Linked DNA regions of Drosophila melanogaster. The protein of the gene in region 2 interacts with the protein of the main gene of each other region in a pairwise test. Each region holds a gene or a part of one and is shown on either strand. Other genes may lie near its edges.

The links.
Region 1: the proteins of Den1 (region 2) and nom interact in a two-hybrid assay, tested with the Drosophila melanogaster proteins (2 studies listed by BioGRID).

What each region holds. Positions count from the first base shown.
Region 1 is NT_033777.3:8,721,059-8,726,442, forward strand, and holds nom (numerous disordered muscles), read left to right. Parts: upstream 1-2,115; 5' UTR 2,116-2,183; coding exon 2,184-2,303; intron 2,304-2,374; coding exon 2,375-2,892; intron 2,893-3,075; coding exon 3,076-3,324; intron 3,325-3,392; coding exon 3,393-3,618; 3' UTR 3,619-4,299; downstream 4,300-5,384. Other genes in the region: CG8136 (uncharacterized protein), read left to right, coding at 482-503, 565-1,868; ouib (ouija board), read left to right, coding at 4,426-4,545, 4,594-5,066, 5,130-5,384.
Region 2 is NT_033778.4:12,336,431-12,340,732, reverse strand, and holds Den1 (deneddylase 1), read right to left. Parts: upstream 2,434-4,302; 5' UTR 2,314-2,433; coding exon 2,285-2,313; intron 2,201-2,284; coding exon 1,480-2,200; 3' UTR 1,189-1,479; downstream 1-1,188. Other genes in the region: CG8839 (uncharacterized protein), read left to right, coding at 1-167, 229-840; CG34021 (uncharacterized protein), read right to left, coding at 3,192-3,395, 3,465-3,746.

The DNA of each region.
Region 1 (5,384 bases), on a different chromosome or scaffold from region 2:
CTCTCAACAGTCCACAAATCTCATGCTTTTAAAACAAAAGAAATAATTTTACTGAAACCAAACAGCTGGAAGCTAGAAGCTGAAAGAAAACCAAAGCCACATCCTACGTTGAATAATTTACCTGTATAATATTTATGTCATTTCGTTAAACGCAAAATGTTAACATACTTTTAAAGCGCGTGTAAAACGGATAGTTAATAAAATAACGACAACAATATTTAAAAGAACATATACACTCGATGAAAATGAATATTAAAGATCGAAAAAAAGAAAAAGGAATCTGTTATTAGTAGGCCGTGGGTTCAATAAGATCTTTTCGAGTATGATAGGTGTATTTCGTTTTGTGCCTCCAAAATTTCAGATATTATTCAGCTACACACAGACAGGCCTCCCAAATTTGTAAGCTCTGTAAATTCAAAACCAGAACTGCTGCAGGCCAGTGGCGAAGTTAATTTGTCAGAGGAAAACTCAAGCCATCTCCATGGATAAAAACCACAAGTCGGGTGAGTCAAGCCGAGTGTGGCATCCTTAAGTTGTTAAAACTATGTGTGTTCTTTGCTCCAGAAGAGGGGTTTGGACGTTCAATGTCTAGTAGCAGTCGCCGCGTCATGTGGAAGCTCAACGAGGAGGAGGAGACATTCGACTCCTTGGTCAATTATCGGCGGCTTCCTTCGCGCAGCCTAAACCGAAGTCAGGTGACCGATGTGCCCACCAAGGGACACACTACCTCCGAAAATTGCCAGCTGCCAGCGCAAGAGTTGGAAACAAAGAGCGCCACCAACGAACAAGGTGCATTGGGCATAATGTCGGTTAGCCTACCGCAAACAACCAGGAATTCCCATCAATCGTCGGCCACGTCACTGCCGGAGGCCAAGGGATGCACTGCCACCGAAAACTGCCAGTTGCTAGCGCAAGAGGCGGAAACAAAGAACGCCAGCAACGAACAAGGTGGATTGGGCAAAATGTCGGTTAGCCTGCCGCAACAAAACTGGAACGCCAATCAATCGTCGGCCACGTCACTGCCGGAGGCCAAGGAGATCAGCTCCAAAGAGCAGGCGATCATCTACTGGCGGCGTCTTTTCGATGGTATCCACAAGCGCCAGCGTGGCGAAAGAAAAGTTGCAGCAATGCAGCCCGAAAATACCACAGATGTCGTGCTGACGTCCAAGCCAAACCTGGCATTGCGCTACAAGCCCTCCCATGAGTCGCTTAAAAACAAGCGGATCAAGGACCTGGCTCCTGAACGATGCCCGAGCACGTCCCGGGGATCAACGTCCTGCAAACTGGTATCGGACCTCAAGATGGAGACGTTCAGCCTGCCGCCGCAGCAGACGTGTGTGGTGCGCGAGGTGGAGCCTCGGTTTGGCCAGCGCCGACGCATGTTGTTGGCCAACGACACGGATTCGTGCTACTCCGGCGAGCTGGAGGTCCCCAAAAACAGTCCCGTCCAGGAGCCAGGACCCTATCCGCGCAGCGAACTGATCAGTGTCCATGTCTCGGCGCCCACCAGCTCCTCTTTTACGGGAGCAACACGGCGGAGTCTGTCTCCAACTAGGCAGCGCACTGCGACGAGCAAGGTGGCCGCCGGGACGAAGGGCGGACCATCACCAGCAGTTGGGGGCAACAAGTGCTCGAGCGTCAGCAGCGGGAGTGCAGGTACCAGCCAGCTGCCTAATTTCCGCCAGCGGCAGCAAGAGCTCCATCGCTATCGCGTTATGATCGAGCAACGGCGCCTCGATCTACTCGAGCTCAAGATAGCCCGCGAACGCGAGGAGGCGCTGCACAGCGAGGTTCTGTTTCACAAGGAACTGCAGATCAAGGAGAACATGATCAAGGTGTACGAGGACAACGACTGCTCCAACGCCTAGGACTTCCTTTATTCCTAACTCTTTCGACCCCAAATTCAGAAAGGTATTTTACACTTGGCAATGGCCCTGGCCTCAGTAGTTCAAAACACTCAGTCAAATAAAACCGAAATTCATTTAGACATCCCAATCTAGGTTTTTTATTAACTACCTGAGAAATAAGTATCAAAACTGCAATATATGAAATTCAACTTAGCGGGTAATTTCAAATCTAATGTGCCCGTTCGTTTACAGCACTGGCAGTGTGTGCGCATCGCTGTGAATGGACATTAGCCCCAAACAACTTTTTATTTCATTTGTTTAAACCGAAAACGTGAAATGTTAATAAATGTGTGCCGAGTTTGCGGCAGGAGCAGGCTGTGCCCCAAAGCCGTGGAGCTCTTCAAACCTGGCAGACAGGATATTCTTCGCCGCATCCAACTAATAACCGGAATTCTCGTGAGTTAAGGAATCAAAATGGATCGCGCAATTTACATATGTGCGAGCGCTTCCTTTTTTGTATTCTGCAGCTTCAGCAGATTCCCAATGCTCCGGATATGGTGTGCTTTTGCTGCCAGACAGATCTGCAATCGGCCATGATTTTCCGGAGGCAGTGCATCCTGCAGCAGAAGAAATGGGTGCCATTGCTACAAAGTGATAAAGTGGGAGCCAGCGAGGAAAAGAAGGTGGAACCCAATGATCCCTCAACCAAGAAGAAAACGACCAAGCGGCGAAGGGGGCGACCCAGGATGCCACTGGAAATTGTAGATATAGTCGTAACGAACGAGAGTAAGGCTTCAGCAGGTGAATCAGTTGGTGGTGATGAATTTGATCAGCCGGTGGAGATCTCCAATGAACCGGATGCCACCGATAGCGATGTTAATCTGGAGGAAATAGATCTTCCGGATGAGGATGGCTTGGAGTCGGATCACGATTTACCCAATGTTCAAATCCACAAGTGCGATACTTGTGGAATTATCAAAAATAATAAATCATCTCTGGTCAGGCATCAGTTTGAACATAATGGAATAAGACCATATCCCTGCAAGTAAGTAAGAATCGCGACGAAAATATACATTTACTGATACTTAAATAGGTCCGTCGTCTTTATCTTTATCTCTTCGTATCTGGTCCATTATCACGATTTGATTAGCATACATTGTGCCTACATACATACATATGTATGTAAATTCTTTTTCTTTGTACAGTATCTGCAATATGTATTTTTCAGGGAGTGCCCAAAGACCTTTCTGGTAGCGAGTGAGCTGAAGGCACACAATCTCACCCATCACACCTTGGAGCCCCCGTTCGCCTGTCGCTACTGCGATCGTCGCTACTTCTCCGTGGTGGGCAGGAAGAAGCACGAGCGGGTCCACACCAACGAGCGACCATTTGTGTGCGATCAGTGCGGCAAGGCCTTCACCAGGACCTGCATTCTGAAGGCCCACATGGCGGTCCACCAAGTTGTAAGGAAGTATAGGTACTTGATGAAATTAAAAAAAAACATGTCGAGATACATTCTGTTATAATCTTTCATTCCCGTTTTAGTTGCGATGTCTGCGATCGTTCGTTCAGCCTGAAGAAACATCTCGCTACGCACTTCATCTCCAATACCCACAAGCGGAATGCTGAAGCCGTCACCTCGTCGTCGGAGTACATGTCCATGCTCAGTTTTGAATCGGATGAAACCTGGTCCCAAGGCACTCCACTGACCACTTCCATTGACGAGGATCTGGTGCAGTCGCAATTCGACCTTTTGTGTCAGGAAGTTTAATACATCTCAAGATGCCATATGTTTTATCAATATACCAAAAAAAAAAAAAAAATTTAGGTAAGAGCTAACCCACAAAGACTTAATAACAGCTGAAACCACAAAAGACAATATCAAATATGGGTCTAAAAATATTGGTGACATTTTTGTAATTCCTTAAAACTCAGCAACAAAGAGACAACTTGGGAACAAATTTAGCTTTTTTTAGCACGTAGTTTTTAAAAAACACTTTACAGTGGCCATGTTATTGCAAATTTTAGTTTTTGCTATTTTTTTTTGCGTAATTTACATCTGCATTGCAATTGCTTCCTTGAATATAACAAAAGTGCCTATATAGTCTTATCTTATACATACATACTTTATTGGGCTAGTTTTAAAATAAAATATATTCAGACATGAGGTACAAAAATGAACATTGAATTTAGAATCAAATCTTTTTCGAAATACATTTTACGAAACATTTTACGTGGATTATTTCGATTTACCGAAACAGAAATATGAAGCTATATGTTTTGTTTTCAAAAATTGATCCTGCGCATTATTAGCATGCAGGTCGTACTTATTTCAAGCACCCATGAAATGGTTCAGCTTAACGATTTGACCAATATTATTTACACCTATTATTAAGTTTTAATATTATAAGCAGTATCTGTTTTATCAGACTGCTCCAGTTGTTAACAGATCAATAGCTATTTAAATAAAGATTTTGACTTTCAAAAATCCCCGCCTTGAATGAATAATTTATCTGGTTTGCCTCAAAATGTAATCACCATACAATTGCCTTTCCATCAGTCGAGTTTAGTGATCGAGATGCTGAACATCGTGTGTAGAGTCTGCGGAAGGCAGAAAATCTGTGAGAAGAGCCTGAATCTCTTCGATTTGGTCAACCGAAAATATCTAAAGCACTTGCACATGATAAGCGGACTAAGAGTGAGTTAAAAGACGTTTTAAAATTGAGATAAATAATATCAGCACCAGTTGGTGGATTTGGACGATGTTCCTGGTTTCATGTGCCTTTGCTGTCAGGCGGAACTCAGATCGGCATTGGCATTCCGGAAGCTTTGCATTAAGACCCAAACTAAATGGCTAACCATCGAGGACGACTCTTCGTCGGGTGATGAAGATACCAATGACAATTCGGAACTGGAATCGGAAAAATGCGCATTCAGCGATTTTGGGAAAAAGAAAGAAGGCGAGTTGGTTGAAGAAACTTTTCAGGTACTGATTGAAGAGGAGCCCATGGACAAAACTCTGAATAGAGATGCGAAAGCGCAGCTGAGGGAAGATGGAATAGATGAGAAGTGTGTACCTTCACAAAAGATTATCAAAGTATCAACCAAACTGGATGATCAGATTTACATATGCGAGCTGTGCGGGACTCATGCCACATCGAAACCCACTTTCCAGCGCCACATGAGAAAACACAGAGGCGAACGACCATTTGGCTGCAAGTAAACCTCGCTCACAGATTACAACTGTAGGTTCGGTATGCTGATTCCATATTCTCTTTTTAGGGATTGTGATGCCAGGTTTCTCTCTGCTGGCGAACTACGTGCCCACCACCGGGTACATACTGGGGAGCAACCGTTTGCCTGTCGCTTCTGCGAAAAGCGGTATGTCAGCTACATGGGCCGGCTGATCCACGAGCGGACTCACACCAACGATCGACCCTATGTGTGCGAAGAGTGTGGCAAGAAGTTCACCACTGCCTACGTCCTAAAGAACCACATGGTCATCCACACGGGCGAGAGGAATTTCCGATGCGATAT
Region 2 (4,302 bases):
CACGATTTGCCGAGGACCTGCGACCCATGCTAAAGATTATGGCTGGCGAGAAGGCGGCCCTGCTTAATCTGGACGAGGATGTGGACCTAACCAAAATGAAGTTCTTCTACCAAGAGTCCGATGGCGGCGGCCGCTTGGTTTCCGCCGTTGATCCAGACTTAAGAGAGGTAAGATAAATGACCTTCTTTCTTAATTAAATCCTCTAATCTGAAATCTTTCTTGCTGCAGGCCATGAACCGCGTGGCACAGCACTTGAGAGAGAAGTTCGGCAATCAGAAAGTGGAGCGCATCCAGCTGCCCCACTTCCGGCAGTCGGCGGCCATTTGGTTTGCCAACATGCGCGACGACAGTGGCCATGGATTCGCCTACCAGCTAGGCAACCTGAATCATGACATCAACACGTACCTGGAGCTCTTCAAGTGGTTCTTCGGCGCTTCCAAGCACACATTCATTGGCCTGTCGACAGCTATCATGGATAGTGCACAGTGCAAGCACGGATCTCCCAAGTACGATCATCTGGTGCGCAAACGAAATGAGCTGAGGGAGGAGTTGCAAAGCCTGCTGGGCGATAATGGTGTGCTGATCTATCCCACGCATCCCACGGTGGCTCCATACCACAATGAGCCCATTACGCGACCCATTAACTTTGCCTACACTGGTATTGTCAATGTGCTGGGCTTCCCGGCCACCGCTGTGCCGCTGGGCAAGCTGGGCAGCGAGGGTCTGCCACTGGGTGTCCAAATCATCGCCAACTTCAATCAGGATCGACTTTGTTTGGCCGTTGCCGAGGAATTGGAGCGAGCCTTTGGCGGTTGGGCCAAGCCCGAAGTTCGGCTCTAGGAGCAGTCTCAAACGTGCAAGTATGCAGCTTAGCTAGCTTTTAGATAGTAGTGGTCAGGTTAACGTCCTGGTCTCCCCCCACCCATTACTAACTACCCCTACCCACCCGAGCATTCGCCTGGCGATGAAAGGTATTCCTTGTGTACTCCAGTGCCTCATTGTAATATCAATTTTCGATGTGGATTTATCTATTTTGTATGTGTTTTTAAATGTAATCTAATCATAGATCCGCGCGGATCCGTTCCCGTTTTGCATTTATAATAAATAATTGCAACCAACTGATATCTTTGTTTTCATTAATTGGCGACAGGCGCCCATTGACCAAACAAGCAGAGAAGTCAGAATTCTGAATTCGAAGCCAACGCGTTTTGTGGCTAAACAAATCTTTATTTTGAAAGACCAACCTTAAAAATATGCCGACTCACCGCCTCAATTGCTTTTAGTTTGCTTTTGTTTTTTAAACATTTTCATTCGGCAAGGAAAACTAAACCCACTACAACTAGCGATATCATGGATATCGTATTCACATATGTAATTCCGATGCTCCTCTCATTCTTCGGCAACGAGTTACATTCGTAATTTGGTCACTTAAAAACTACTCGGCTGTGGGCGGTTCGGCAGGGCAATCCTCGCTAGCCTCTAGCCCTTGCCGCCCAGCGACAGGATGAGTTTCAGTAGCTCGGTGCGCTTCGCCTTCACGGTGTCGATGTGCAGCGACGGCAGTCCGTCGATCACCTCGTATCTGTTTAGGTAATCGGCAATGTGGTCGGTCATGCAGATAACATGGATGCCACAGTCGTAGCCGTTCGCCTGCTGTAGGCAGCGCATGGGCCGGAATTTGGCCATTCGGACGCCAAGCAGGTCCTTGATCTTGTTCATCAGCTCCAGGGAGTTGCCCGTGTTGTTGTTCCCATACGAATCGAAGTGATAGAAGGTCTTCTCCGGACGCGAGAAGACCAACAGTGACCAGTGGCTGCCACCAGCATCGGTGGTTTCGTTGTCGTTCAGCGCGAAGAAGATAAAGGGCTTGCCAGTGGTGTTGCTCTGGTCGAGAAGCTGCTTCAGCTCCTGGTCGCCCATGTACTTCATACACTGCGTAATCTCCGGCGCAATGAAGTGCAGATCCGCATTGGTCTTGTACTTCATGTGGGCCAGGTATTCGTAGTAGAAGCTCAGGATCTGGTCGTTCAGCCAGTGCGGGCCGTGGAGCAACTGGACGTCGGACATCCGCAGGCAGGAGTCGTGGAAGGTCAGCGAGATGGGGTCTGCCTTGGAGTTGCTGCCCATTTTGGTATGGAAGCTATTGTTGGTGAATCTGGGGCGCCGGCGATTCGTATTCTGGTTCTGGCGTGTATGTTGCCTGGAATGAAAATAAATGGCAAAAAATTGATTTAAATCATGTTGTTGCGACTAGATTCGTGTTGTTCCAGCTGGCGACTATCACCTAAGTATTTTCCTATCGTGGGGCAACATTTTCACTAACAATCTTCGCGAAAATTCGGCTAAAAGAATAAAATTTTTCCGGCGACTAATACAACTCCAGGGTTTCAAAGTCAACGCAGGAATGACGTTTTCGGTTTCCTTTTGCTTTTGCTTTCCCTTTCGTTTGCCGGCCGGTACTGTTGTTATTGTTGTGGTTTCAAAGCAATCAGAAATCAGTCATGCCAAGCGCATTTTAAGAACACTATAATCGTATTTTAAACCAAAATAAACATATCGAAATTAACTAATCTTCGTACAAAGCTGTTTTGTTATTGTCTTTGACAACGAATGGGCGTAGCAAAACAAAATAGAGGACACTGAGGAGGTGAAGGTGGTGGTCAGATCCCCACATATATATTTTTTACTCACCACGAAAAATGGCTACTCCTCCTCCTCGAAGTCGCGACCTCGCTTTTTGTCCGTTCTTTGGACACTCCTCGCGTATTACCATTTATTTGGCTGTTTGGGAGCAAATAACTTGAATTTACCAACTGATATTTTCACTAATATAAAAAGTTACACAACACTCTGAATAGTTTTTCCGCTTTTCCGCTCAAATAATAAGTCGCCGTACTGTATATCTTACTTTCTGGCTTGGGCTGCCAGACTGCTCGCTAAATAGGTGGCAGTGCAGACTGTGAAATGCAGTGTTGCCTAATGTGGCAAAGTTATAAAAAGTAATTTAAATATGTATAATTTAATTACAAATATTTTTTATTCCTTTTAAAAAGTTTTTTGAATTTATTAAGTTCACATTTTTAACATTTCTTGCAATCTGATTTTTTTTTTTTTTGAATTTATTAAGTTCACATTTTTAACATTTCTTGCAATCTGAATTTTTTTTTTTTGAATTTATTAAGTTCACATTTTTAACATTTCTTGCAATCTGGCTTATAATTTTCAGGGCAAACTTGCTTTTCGGGTATGTTGAAACTCGCAGTGGTATTAAAATTAGTTTGGCATTTAGTTTCCGAAGAAGTCTCGCTGGATTCTGGAAACGGGGCACATCCTTCGTCAGGATTCCACGTACCCCCTCGCAACTGCTCTTCCAACCACTTAAGTTGCTTGTTTATCTAGAAAATTACAATTCTTTTAAGCGTTTTTTTTTTCATTTATGTAAATATGCAAACAAAAATTATTGCCTTTTCTACCATCTCCTCGTCTCTTTCGCTTCCAAATAAATTGGCTGTAAATTGGTAGATATTCGATGGCTTTGCCTTAACCGCCTCGGCTGTAATGACCCGAATTATGGCTCGGATCTCTGGATGGCGTTGTAGATATGTCCAATCGTCCTTGCGCATATTTCGGGAAATATTTCCAATAGTTTCATAAAATTTTGATACGTTTTCGTTAATGTTTTTAGCATGACTAGTATTTTCCGTGTTTTCGGTTTCCTCAGCGCTTGATGTTTTCGTGACATCCATATTCACTTTGCCAGAAAAATGTATATTTTCAAATTTTAATTATTTTGAAGTATTTCGTTCATTGGTGCTTGTGGACTTAAAACTCAACGAGTTTTCGATAACCAACATTTTGTACAAAATAGCCAATTCCAAGCTTAAAAATAAAAAATAACCCAACTCCGTGACAATGTTTATTTGAACATTGCCGTGACCAGGATTCGAACCTGGGTGTGGTAACCCACAACGTGGGGTCCTAACCACTAGACGATCACGGCTACATTGGATTGCGCCCAGCAATTCCAAGATCCCACCACGTCACCTAATAAAAAAAAATTGCAGATGTAATTAGTAAACACTACCCCAAATCAAATAGAAAATCAAATAATAAGATTAGCAAAAACATGTTTTATCATTTATTTATATATCATTTCAATTTGTTTAATAATTATTTTCATTTTCATCAAAATAATTAGAGTGTAAAAAAATACCCAACTCCGTGACAATGTTTGTTTCAACATTGCCGTGACCAGGATTCGAACCTGGGTTACCACGGCCACAACGTGGGGTCCTAACCACT